Nothobranchius furzeri: one gene and its partner. The protein of the gene in region 1 purifies or fractionates together with the protein of each later gene. This does not show direct contact. Links are inferred from orthologs where the notes say so. Each region holds a gene or a part of one and is shown on either strand. Other genes may lie near its edges. The genes, in order: cep63 and fxr1.

Region 1 (4,420 bases):
GGGTCACAGAAAGTGTGCCTGCAGTGAAGCACTCGTGGGATCTTGTCCATGCGGGAATATGGCAAGAGGCAGACGCTGCACTCTCCATCGTCGCACAAAACCATCGTCAAGCTGGTAGACCCCAGAAGATCACAAAAAAAAGAGTCCTCTGAGATGATCCGAGTGAGTTCCGATCTAAAAGTCTGTCGATAGGAAAGATGTCAGAGCTGATGTCAAAGTTCCAACGCTGTCTGTCTTTCAATCAAATATCTTCAGTATTAGAAACCGTTTTAAAAGGGAAGAATTTGTTTAGAACCAAATTCTATGTTCATTTCAAATACCATCAAAATGAATCACTTAAATCCTAAAGTTGGATGCTGTTGGTTTTTTTATAAGCTTGAGTGAAACACAAAACAGCCATGGTCAGATAATAGTTTGTAATAAAACAGATTACTTACAGGTGATGTGTGTATCTGCGGTGTTTTCTTTTAGGTTTGTGCAGCTCGGTGTCTGTGCTGTGAATGATGTCAGAGAGCAGCTTGCCTGCCTCCTGCTAGAGCGTCTGTTGCGTTGGTGGGGGCGAAACAGCCAAAAGCCCTCCCATGAACAGCTGGGGATGCAGAGCGGAGGAAACGCTCTTTGTTTAGTTTGAATGAAGGCAGGTGGAGAGATGGGTGAGGAAGGGGGAGTGGTAAAGGAGGGGTTGATGAACGTTCCAAAGTAGGTGATGTGTTTTGCTTTTTCCTTAACCATAACACATCCTGATAAAATGTTTCTCAAAAGACATATAAAGAAAACTTAGCACATCTGGGAATTGAACCCGGAGTCTCTCGCATTCAATATGAGAATCATACCCCTCTACCAACAAAATGCTGATGTGTTAAAGGAACATATGTATATTGTAGGTAATAAATGTTTCATGTTTTCTTGACATTTGTGCTGTTGAAGCATCGGTTCACGATGACACCTTGCTCGCGGGATTGCGGTAAAAACGGAAAAGCTATCATGATATCCCTCTTCCCTAGCCATGGCCAAGCAGATAATTTATACAACACTCACGCAGCGACACAGCGACCAATATGTTCGGACAGCAGACCGCCGAATTTTCAAATCACATTCTAAATGACCATGCTAAAAATTATGGGCTCGTCCGGGATTTGAACCCGGGACCTCTCGCACCCGAAGCGAGAATCATACCCCTAGACCAACGAGCCACGTGTCCGGGAAAGACACATAAAATAATTTAAAGTTAATTTAAAGTGATATGTAGTTTTTCTGTAAATGTACTGTTTTAAAAGTATTATTGTATTTTTACACACTATAATAGAATGTCTAATTTCATGGAATTTCAGACGTACCTTCACGTTACACGACATCTGAATCTTAAGCCGTGAGATTAATGTGTTTGTTTTTTCTTTAATTTTCCCTCCCAAACCTTATTTTTAAAGTCGAAGACCAAATAATAAATTACATTTTTTAAAATGTTGCCTACGTAAAACGTAATGAGGTCACAGTTAGAAGGCGGATGTACCGCCTTGGAACCGGAAATTCTTTGTAAAGAAAAGCAGTTGAACGCCGAATAGTGTTGTTGACGTAGCGATGTCATCAAACTTGTTTATACTCTACAACGTGCCGGTCTTAGCTTGTAAGGACAATCTGGATAGAGTCCACCGTGTTGTAGCACCTTAGCGCGCAGAGGGGACAGACGGCGCCATTTTTGAACGAGATGGAGGTTTCTTTGGAATCAATACAGAATCCTGATATAAGGTAACAGACGTTTGGTTTGTCGTGAGGCTAAGTCAGCCATCTTTAGATGCGTGTTTACACAAATGAAGTTGATAACACGCTTTAATCTTCTGCTACGCAGCTCTGTCCTGTCCTCATGCGAGCCTGAGCTGCAGGAGCTGATGAGACAGATTGACATTATGATCAATCATCAGAAGAGGGAGTGGGAGGCTGAGCTCCACGCTCTGCAGCTCAGGGTCACCAGTGGAGAAGAAGAGCTTTTAACCTCCAAGACTACCATTGAACGGAGGGATCTGGAGGTGAAGTGACGATTCATCCTTTTTTGCTCAAAAGAATCACAAAAGTAATTTAATCAACACAGAAGCTTGTAATAAAAAAGCAAGCATGCCCTTATTTTGACATGCAGCATTTTGAAGGTAACATTTTTCCATCCCATTTCCAATTCCAAACATGGACTCTCCTGCTAAAACAGTTTTTATGGCCACTGTCTCCATTTCTGGCCTCACCTAATGTTGGAGACTTACTAAATTATTCCTTAAATGATCAGAAAGCCTCTGCTATGAAGATTCGTTGTACTCTCAAAACAAAACCTCCTGCAGATTCAATTAAATGTTTCAAAAATAAATGTAAATGTGTGAGGATGTTGGTTTTAGGACATGTTTTAAACCGTAAGGAAGGAGACAGTAAATAGTTGTGGCATGAAGCATTTTATCTCTATTCCCATAATAACACCATCACCTATTCAATCAATCAATCAAACTTTATTTCAGACAAGGGATATGTCCATAACAAGAATAAAAAAAATAAAAAATAAATAAAAAAATAAAATACAAACACATTCTAATTACAAACCATATAGGCAGTTGCTCCAATGTTTAAAAAGGACTGAGGAGTACCTCGTGTCACTGTAAGATAAAGATGACAGAGCTCTAACAACCGCGTTAGCTGACAAACTCAGTCGGCAGATGAATTTGTACATGAAGAGCCTCAGAAGCGCATGAAAAGTTGGGATGTTACTCGTAACAAACATGTGACTTGCCGAAGTCCATCTAGGGAGCTTCATGAGGATTCTAAAAGCATCCTGATAAGCCACTTGAAGCTTCTTCATTACTACCTTACTATAGTTGCACCACAAGTGGGCGGTATAGAGAGGAGTACAAAAGGAACGAAAGAGGGACACTTTTACAGGATCTGAGCACATGCCAAAGTTACGTGCCAGAGTGTTAGCCTGCATGTACAGCTTACCACACTGCCTCTTAATGTCCTCGTCATCACAGAGGTCACTTCTTAAAATGTGCCCCAAATATTTTACTTTGCTTACCACTTCCAGGACCTGATTTGTTAAGTTAAAAGATGGAAAATTAAGCTTCAGGTCCCCTTTAGTAGCAGCAATCATAACCACACTCTTTTTAGGGTTAAACAGGATGTCAAATTGCTCACCATACTTAGCACATGCCCTGAGCAGCTGCTGCAGGCCTGCGCTATAGGGAGACATGAGGACTAGGTCATCTGCATATATTAAATGATTTACCAGTCGGTCACCCACCAAGCATCCAGTCTTACTAGCATTCAGAGTAACAGACAACTCGTCAAGGTACAGGTTAAAAAGGACAGGTGACAGAATCCCGCCTTGTCTGACTCCATTTGATACGGAGAAAGGTTCAGACACTTCTGTCCCCCACTTTACCTGCATCAGTTGATGAGAGTACCAGAAGTGCAAAATCCTAACTAGGTAAGAAGGGACCCCTCTGTTTTGTAGCTTGATGAATAATTTCTGATGATTGACTCTGTCAAAGGCCTTAGAGGCATCTAAAAAACACATAAAAACAGAAGTATTATGCCTCATGTATTTGTTGCAGATTGGACTTCTTCACAAGCAGCTTGAAGCCGTTCAGACGGATCGGCAAGAGTTGGTATCCAAGTACGAACAACAACTAAAGAGACTCCGTGAAGAGGTGTGATCATCTGTTTTTCCTCAAATGCACTCAGCTATATCGCTTGTATCATGTTTATTGTTAACATCGTTTCTTATAGTTGGACAAGTTGAAGAGAAGTTACCAGAAGCTTCATCGCAAACAGCTTAAGGAGACAAGTGGAGGTGGAAAGGAGACTGAGCTTGCAAAGGTGAACTAATAGATTTTCCTGGCATTTCCATCTCCTGGAATTTGATTAATCGTTCTTACATTGGTGCAGAAGCATCAGCAGCGCTCTGAGCAGCAGCGAACTCGGTACCAAAACCAGCTGACCACACTGGAGCTCCAGAATAAAAGCCTGAACCAGGAGCTTGCTCACTTAAAGGTTAAAAAGCACATTTATGACTTTCACTCAGGAAGCCAGACATATTTAGTGTATAAAAGTGTGGAAGACTGCTGCATTGTTGTTGCATTTCAGTAATATTTGTTTTTCCAGAGCCAATGGGCATCGGGGCGGGTGGAGAGGGAACACAAGGAGTGCTGTTCAGAGGTGCAGCATCTGCGTGCACAGCTGGAGAAGGCTCAGGCCAGCCTGCACTCACAGGAACTGGAACTGGATCGCCTCAGACCGCTGGAGGTGCTGTTGGGACAGTCCCAGAGAGAGCAGCAGGTTAGCAGGGCGACAGGAACATGTGAGATGTGTGGCTTCTCAGCTGGATACCAAACATCTTCCATCAGATTCCAGGTGTTTGTAACAACTCTGGAGATAAAAGTCTCACTGT
Region 2 (3,817 bases), on another chromosome or scaffold:
CCTGATGTTTCCAGGAAACCTGGTGGCTACATATCGGTGCAGCGTTTAACCGCTGCGAGCCAGTTTTCTCACTCAACTACAATCAGCTTCAACAGAAGTCGGTTACGCTTCAGTGCAAACAAAACGTCTCGTCTCGTCTCAGATATGCTGTAATAACATTTGTCCTATGATCAGAGTGGTTGCATATTAAAGAACAGGAAGCAGCTAATGTCAAACTCCTCAACAGATAAATATATAAAGGATAACGGGACCCCCCCACCCCACCCCACCCCCACAACATTAAGAGCAGACACCTGATTTTAGAGAGATGGCTCTGAAATCCTTTGAGGGCGTTTTGAGGGTTCGCCCTCACCGGCCTCTAGCGGAGACGCCTCGTCTGTGGCAGGTGAGGGAAACCGGGTCACGCGGAGAGATGTGGAAGGATTTCAGGTGGAGCGCAGAGCCAGGCAGCAACATGTTGAATCTACTCTCAAGGCACAACAGCTGATCACACGTGAATCAATTCTACTTGAGTTTGCGACAAACCTATCTGCAGCGTGGTAAGGCTCATGCAGATGTTCACTTTTCAAACTACCTCGGATGGAAAAAGCATCCTGGAGAAGACAAAACTAAAATAAAAAATATGTTGCCACGCGACAAAAAAACAGGCATCGTTGTAAAACTTTGCCAGAATTAAAAAAACAAACTGCTGCATTCACACCACAGAATGGATTTGAGAGGAATTCCTGTCTGCGTTGTATAAACACTGCTTTCAGCCAAACCTCCATCGGAGCTCTCGGTGAAGAGCAAGCTAAAGAGGTGTGTGTGTGTGTGTGTGTGTGTGTGTGTGTGTCCCTAAACATGTGTCTGACTATCTTTGGCAAGCTCGTACTGGAAGAACTACTGAGAAAGAAAACTAACTAGTAAAATGAACAGTTGAACAGATAAAGGTGTAAATGAGAGGTTACGGTCTTGTGCTGCAGAACAGGTTTCAAATATTTGTTAAGTAATAAAAAGGACAGTGCTTGTTGTGTTTAAATGTTTAGTAAACTTTGACGCCTCGCCATGGAGACGCAACCAAGTATCCCCAAAGGAGTCCAAATATTTGAAACCGTTTTCTTTGCTCCGGTCTAACTAGGAGAGTCCGTTAACGACAGGTTCCGGGTTCGAGTCCTCCGTGTGAGAGGCTTTGGCGGGCTTCTCAGGGGGAGACTTGGTGGCGCCGTTGCTCGAGCCGTTGGTGGTTGGCGGAGCAGACTGCGGACTGTGCTCAGCAATAGCCTCCACCTGACCCTGGATAGATGAAAGGAAGTTTTCAGCTAAAGTGCGTTTAGGAAATGACCGCACTGCCATTTTTCTGATAGAAAGTTTCATTTGAGTTACGACTTTCTTCAAATCAAGCTTCAGCACAAAATTCACTAAGTACATAATCACTCACAAACATGGCCGAACGCGACATCACACCGTCAAAGCATTAAAGCTAACACTAAGGATGAAATCTGAAGGTAACTGGATGTTCTTCAGGGCCGCCTGAATGATTCTTCACTCAAAAGCAGCCGTTACAACCAACGCCGACGCATTTTACAGGCTAGCTTTGAGTTACCCTAACTCTGCAAAGGCTTGTGTCATCAGAAACGTTCAAACAGGTTTTGAAAGAAGAGAACTTGAGCTTCCACGGCTGCAGTCTTACCACGATAAATCCCCTTCTGCTGCTTCAGGAACCCAGATATAAAAAACATGGGCCTGCGCAGCGCTACAGGAAAAAAAAAACAACTAAAGCTGGGCGGACACTGTGCGACTTTTTCACTCGTAGCACTCATCTTCAGCTCACACTGTACGACTTCCTCGCAGGGCAGATCTCACGAGTCATGTGCTCACGCTGTACGACCCAGTTCTCGGATGCGACCTGACTGCTCACACTGTACGTCTGGTAGCAACACGTCGGCCCTAAAAATATGCTAAAAAAAGCAGTTTTTACTCAACACGTCAGACTTTTTTGTCTTGTTTTGCCTGTTGTCCTTCGGGAGTCCTGCAGGAGGACACACGGGGATTTATGGGGGTTGGATGAGGAAAACAAAATAAAGTAAATCTGTGTTTTGTTATCAGTTTAATTTGACATGAACACGACAAACACGCTTTATTGACAATATTTGTCATTGTGTGTAAAAAAATGTTTAGAAATAAAAACGAACAGCGTGTGTTATTAGGGAAATAGCGGGCGAGCGGTGTTGATGCAGGATTGCGCATGCGCCGTGAGCGGTTCTGGTACTTTTTGGGTCGCAGCGCTGCTTCAACAGTGCGATACCCTCACGAGGGACGAGCAAAATATCAAACACGCCAGAAGTCCGTGCGAGCTCACGATTGCTGATCGGTAGCTGGTCACGTGGTGTTAATCGCCTCTCGTAACCCCCTGTACACTACACGACGCTCAGCGCAAAACTCGCCCCGATGTCGTGGATTCTCGCACGAGTGGAAAATCGGCTCAAAAAAGTGAAAAAGTCGCACGGTGTGCGCCCGGCTTAAAAGGAGCCGAAGCTTTGCTCCTTCAGCTCTGGCATTGGCCGATTATGTTTGTCTGAAATCGAATTGTCGACCAGAAAACAGGTGATCATTCAGCTCTATAAGACAGTTTCTTGCTTCTAAAATAAGAGATTCTCAGTCGAACACCAGAGATGCTCACTTTACCAGAATTACCACTTTATAGAAACTAACGGACATCTGTCGGCAGTCACATGCAGCATGGCGGTACTGACCACATCCTTGGGTTTCTTTGTGTCCTTGGTGTTTGTCTGCCTGCTCTGAGATTCAGCCCTGGATATGTAGTCAGCCACGGTCACTGCACAAACACCACAACACCTCTGGTAAGGCACCGGGGCAGAGAACTTATGCCACATCCGCCCCAGTTTTCACAACATCAGTAGGACTTCCATTTGTGCAAATTACAACGCACAGACATTAGTGAAGCTTGCAGAGTCGGGAACACCGGACACAAACATCAGCGAGGACTGATTAAGTATTTTAAGTTAACTTAAAAATGTAACTTTTGCTACGGCAGAATCGCAACGCAGATAGTGAGTTTAGAGTAAAACAAGTTCAGGCTGGAAAAGCAGTGGTTCAAATCTCGCATTTTAATAGAAGCACAACTGTTAGATGCTGTTGGACAAGAAGAAACCTCTTAGTTTTCCAAAACCGCCAACAACGCTCATGCCAGTTAATTCTGCACCTGCAGCTCAGTATGCAGTGTTCTGTTTGATGCCACTAAAGCTGCAGCCTGGAGAACACACACCAGCGGTTGCCATTGGTTACCTGGCTGCCTCTCCTCTGGCAGGTGGGCGCGGCGACGCCGGCTACGGTTGCGGCGCTGAGGTTTTACATCTAGGAGTTTTAGGTTTTCAAAAGCAGAATGATTGGTGTCTTCAACATTAAACGCTACCGTAAACTGCAGAAGCTTCTCCTACTGTCAAAATGCTGCTCTGATGACAACACCTAGCAATGCCACTCTGATTACATTCAAAGACGACTCATCCATCCTCCATACCTAAGCCATTTTCACTCAGCGAGGCGTTGTCAGACTCGCTCATGCCATCCATCAGAGTGGCATCTTCATCTGTTCTGCGACGCCGTGACCTTCGGCGGCGGTTTGCTGGCAGGTTGGACTCGCTGGCATCGGTGTCAGCTGTCTGGTCCGTCTCAGTGTTTGCCTCCAAGGTTCCATAGGGTTGGTAGTTGTCATGGTCCCGAGGCGCTGCAGAATTATATTCAGAATGACCGACAGCAGGCTGCAGTTACACAAGACAGCAGGTGACTGGGTGCGCTTCAGAAGGACAAGCCTTAAGGT

Evidence for each region.
Region 2: the proteins of cep63 (region 1) and fxr1 purify together in Homo sapiens (co-immunoprecipitation; 3 studies listed by BioGRID and IntAct, with this or other methods). This does not show direct contact. The link is inferred for Nothobranchius furzeri from reciprocal best matches to the Homo sapiens genes CEP63 and FXR1.

The regions. Positions count from the first base shown.
Region 1 is NC_091756.1:60,714,838-60,719,257, forward strand, and holds the start of cep63 (centrosomal protein of 63 kDa), read left to right. Parts: upstream 1-1,552; 5' UTR 1,553-1,705; coding exon 1,706-1,746; intron 1,747-1,846; coding exon 1,847-2,024; intron 2,025-3,584; coding exon 3,585-3,680; intron 3,681-3,759; coding exon 3,760-3,849; intron 3,850-3,918; coding exon 3,919-4,023; intron 4,024-4,134; coding exon 4,135-4,308; intron 4,309-4,420. Other genes in the region: im:7152348 (tripartite motif-containing protein 3), read right to left, coding at 1-104. UniProt on the Homo sapiens protein: Required for normal spindle assembly.
Region 2 is NC_091748.1:72,983,410-72,987,226, forward strand, and holds part of fxr1 (RNA-binding protein FXR1), read right to left. Parts: intron 3,725-3,817; coding exon 3,518-3,724; intron 3,355-3,517; coding exon 3,286-3,354; intron 2,816-3,285; coding exon 2,733-2,815; intron 1,273-2,732; coding exon 1,114-1,272; 3' UTR 1-1,113. UniProt on the Homo sapiens protein: mRNA-binding protein that acts as a regulator of mRNAs translation and/or stability, and which is required for various processes, such as neurogenesis, muscle development and spermatogenesis.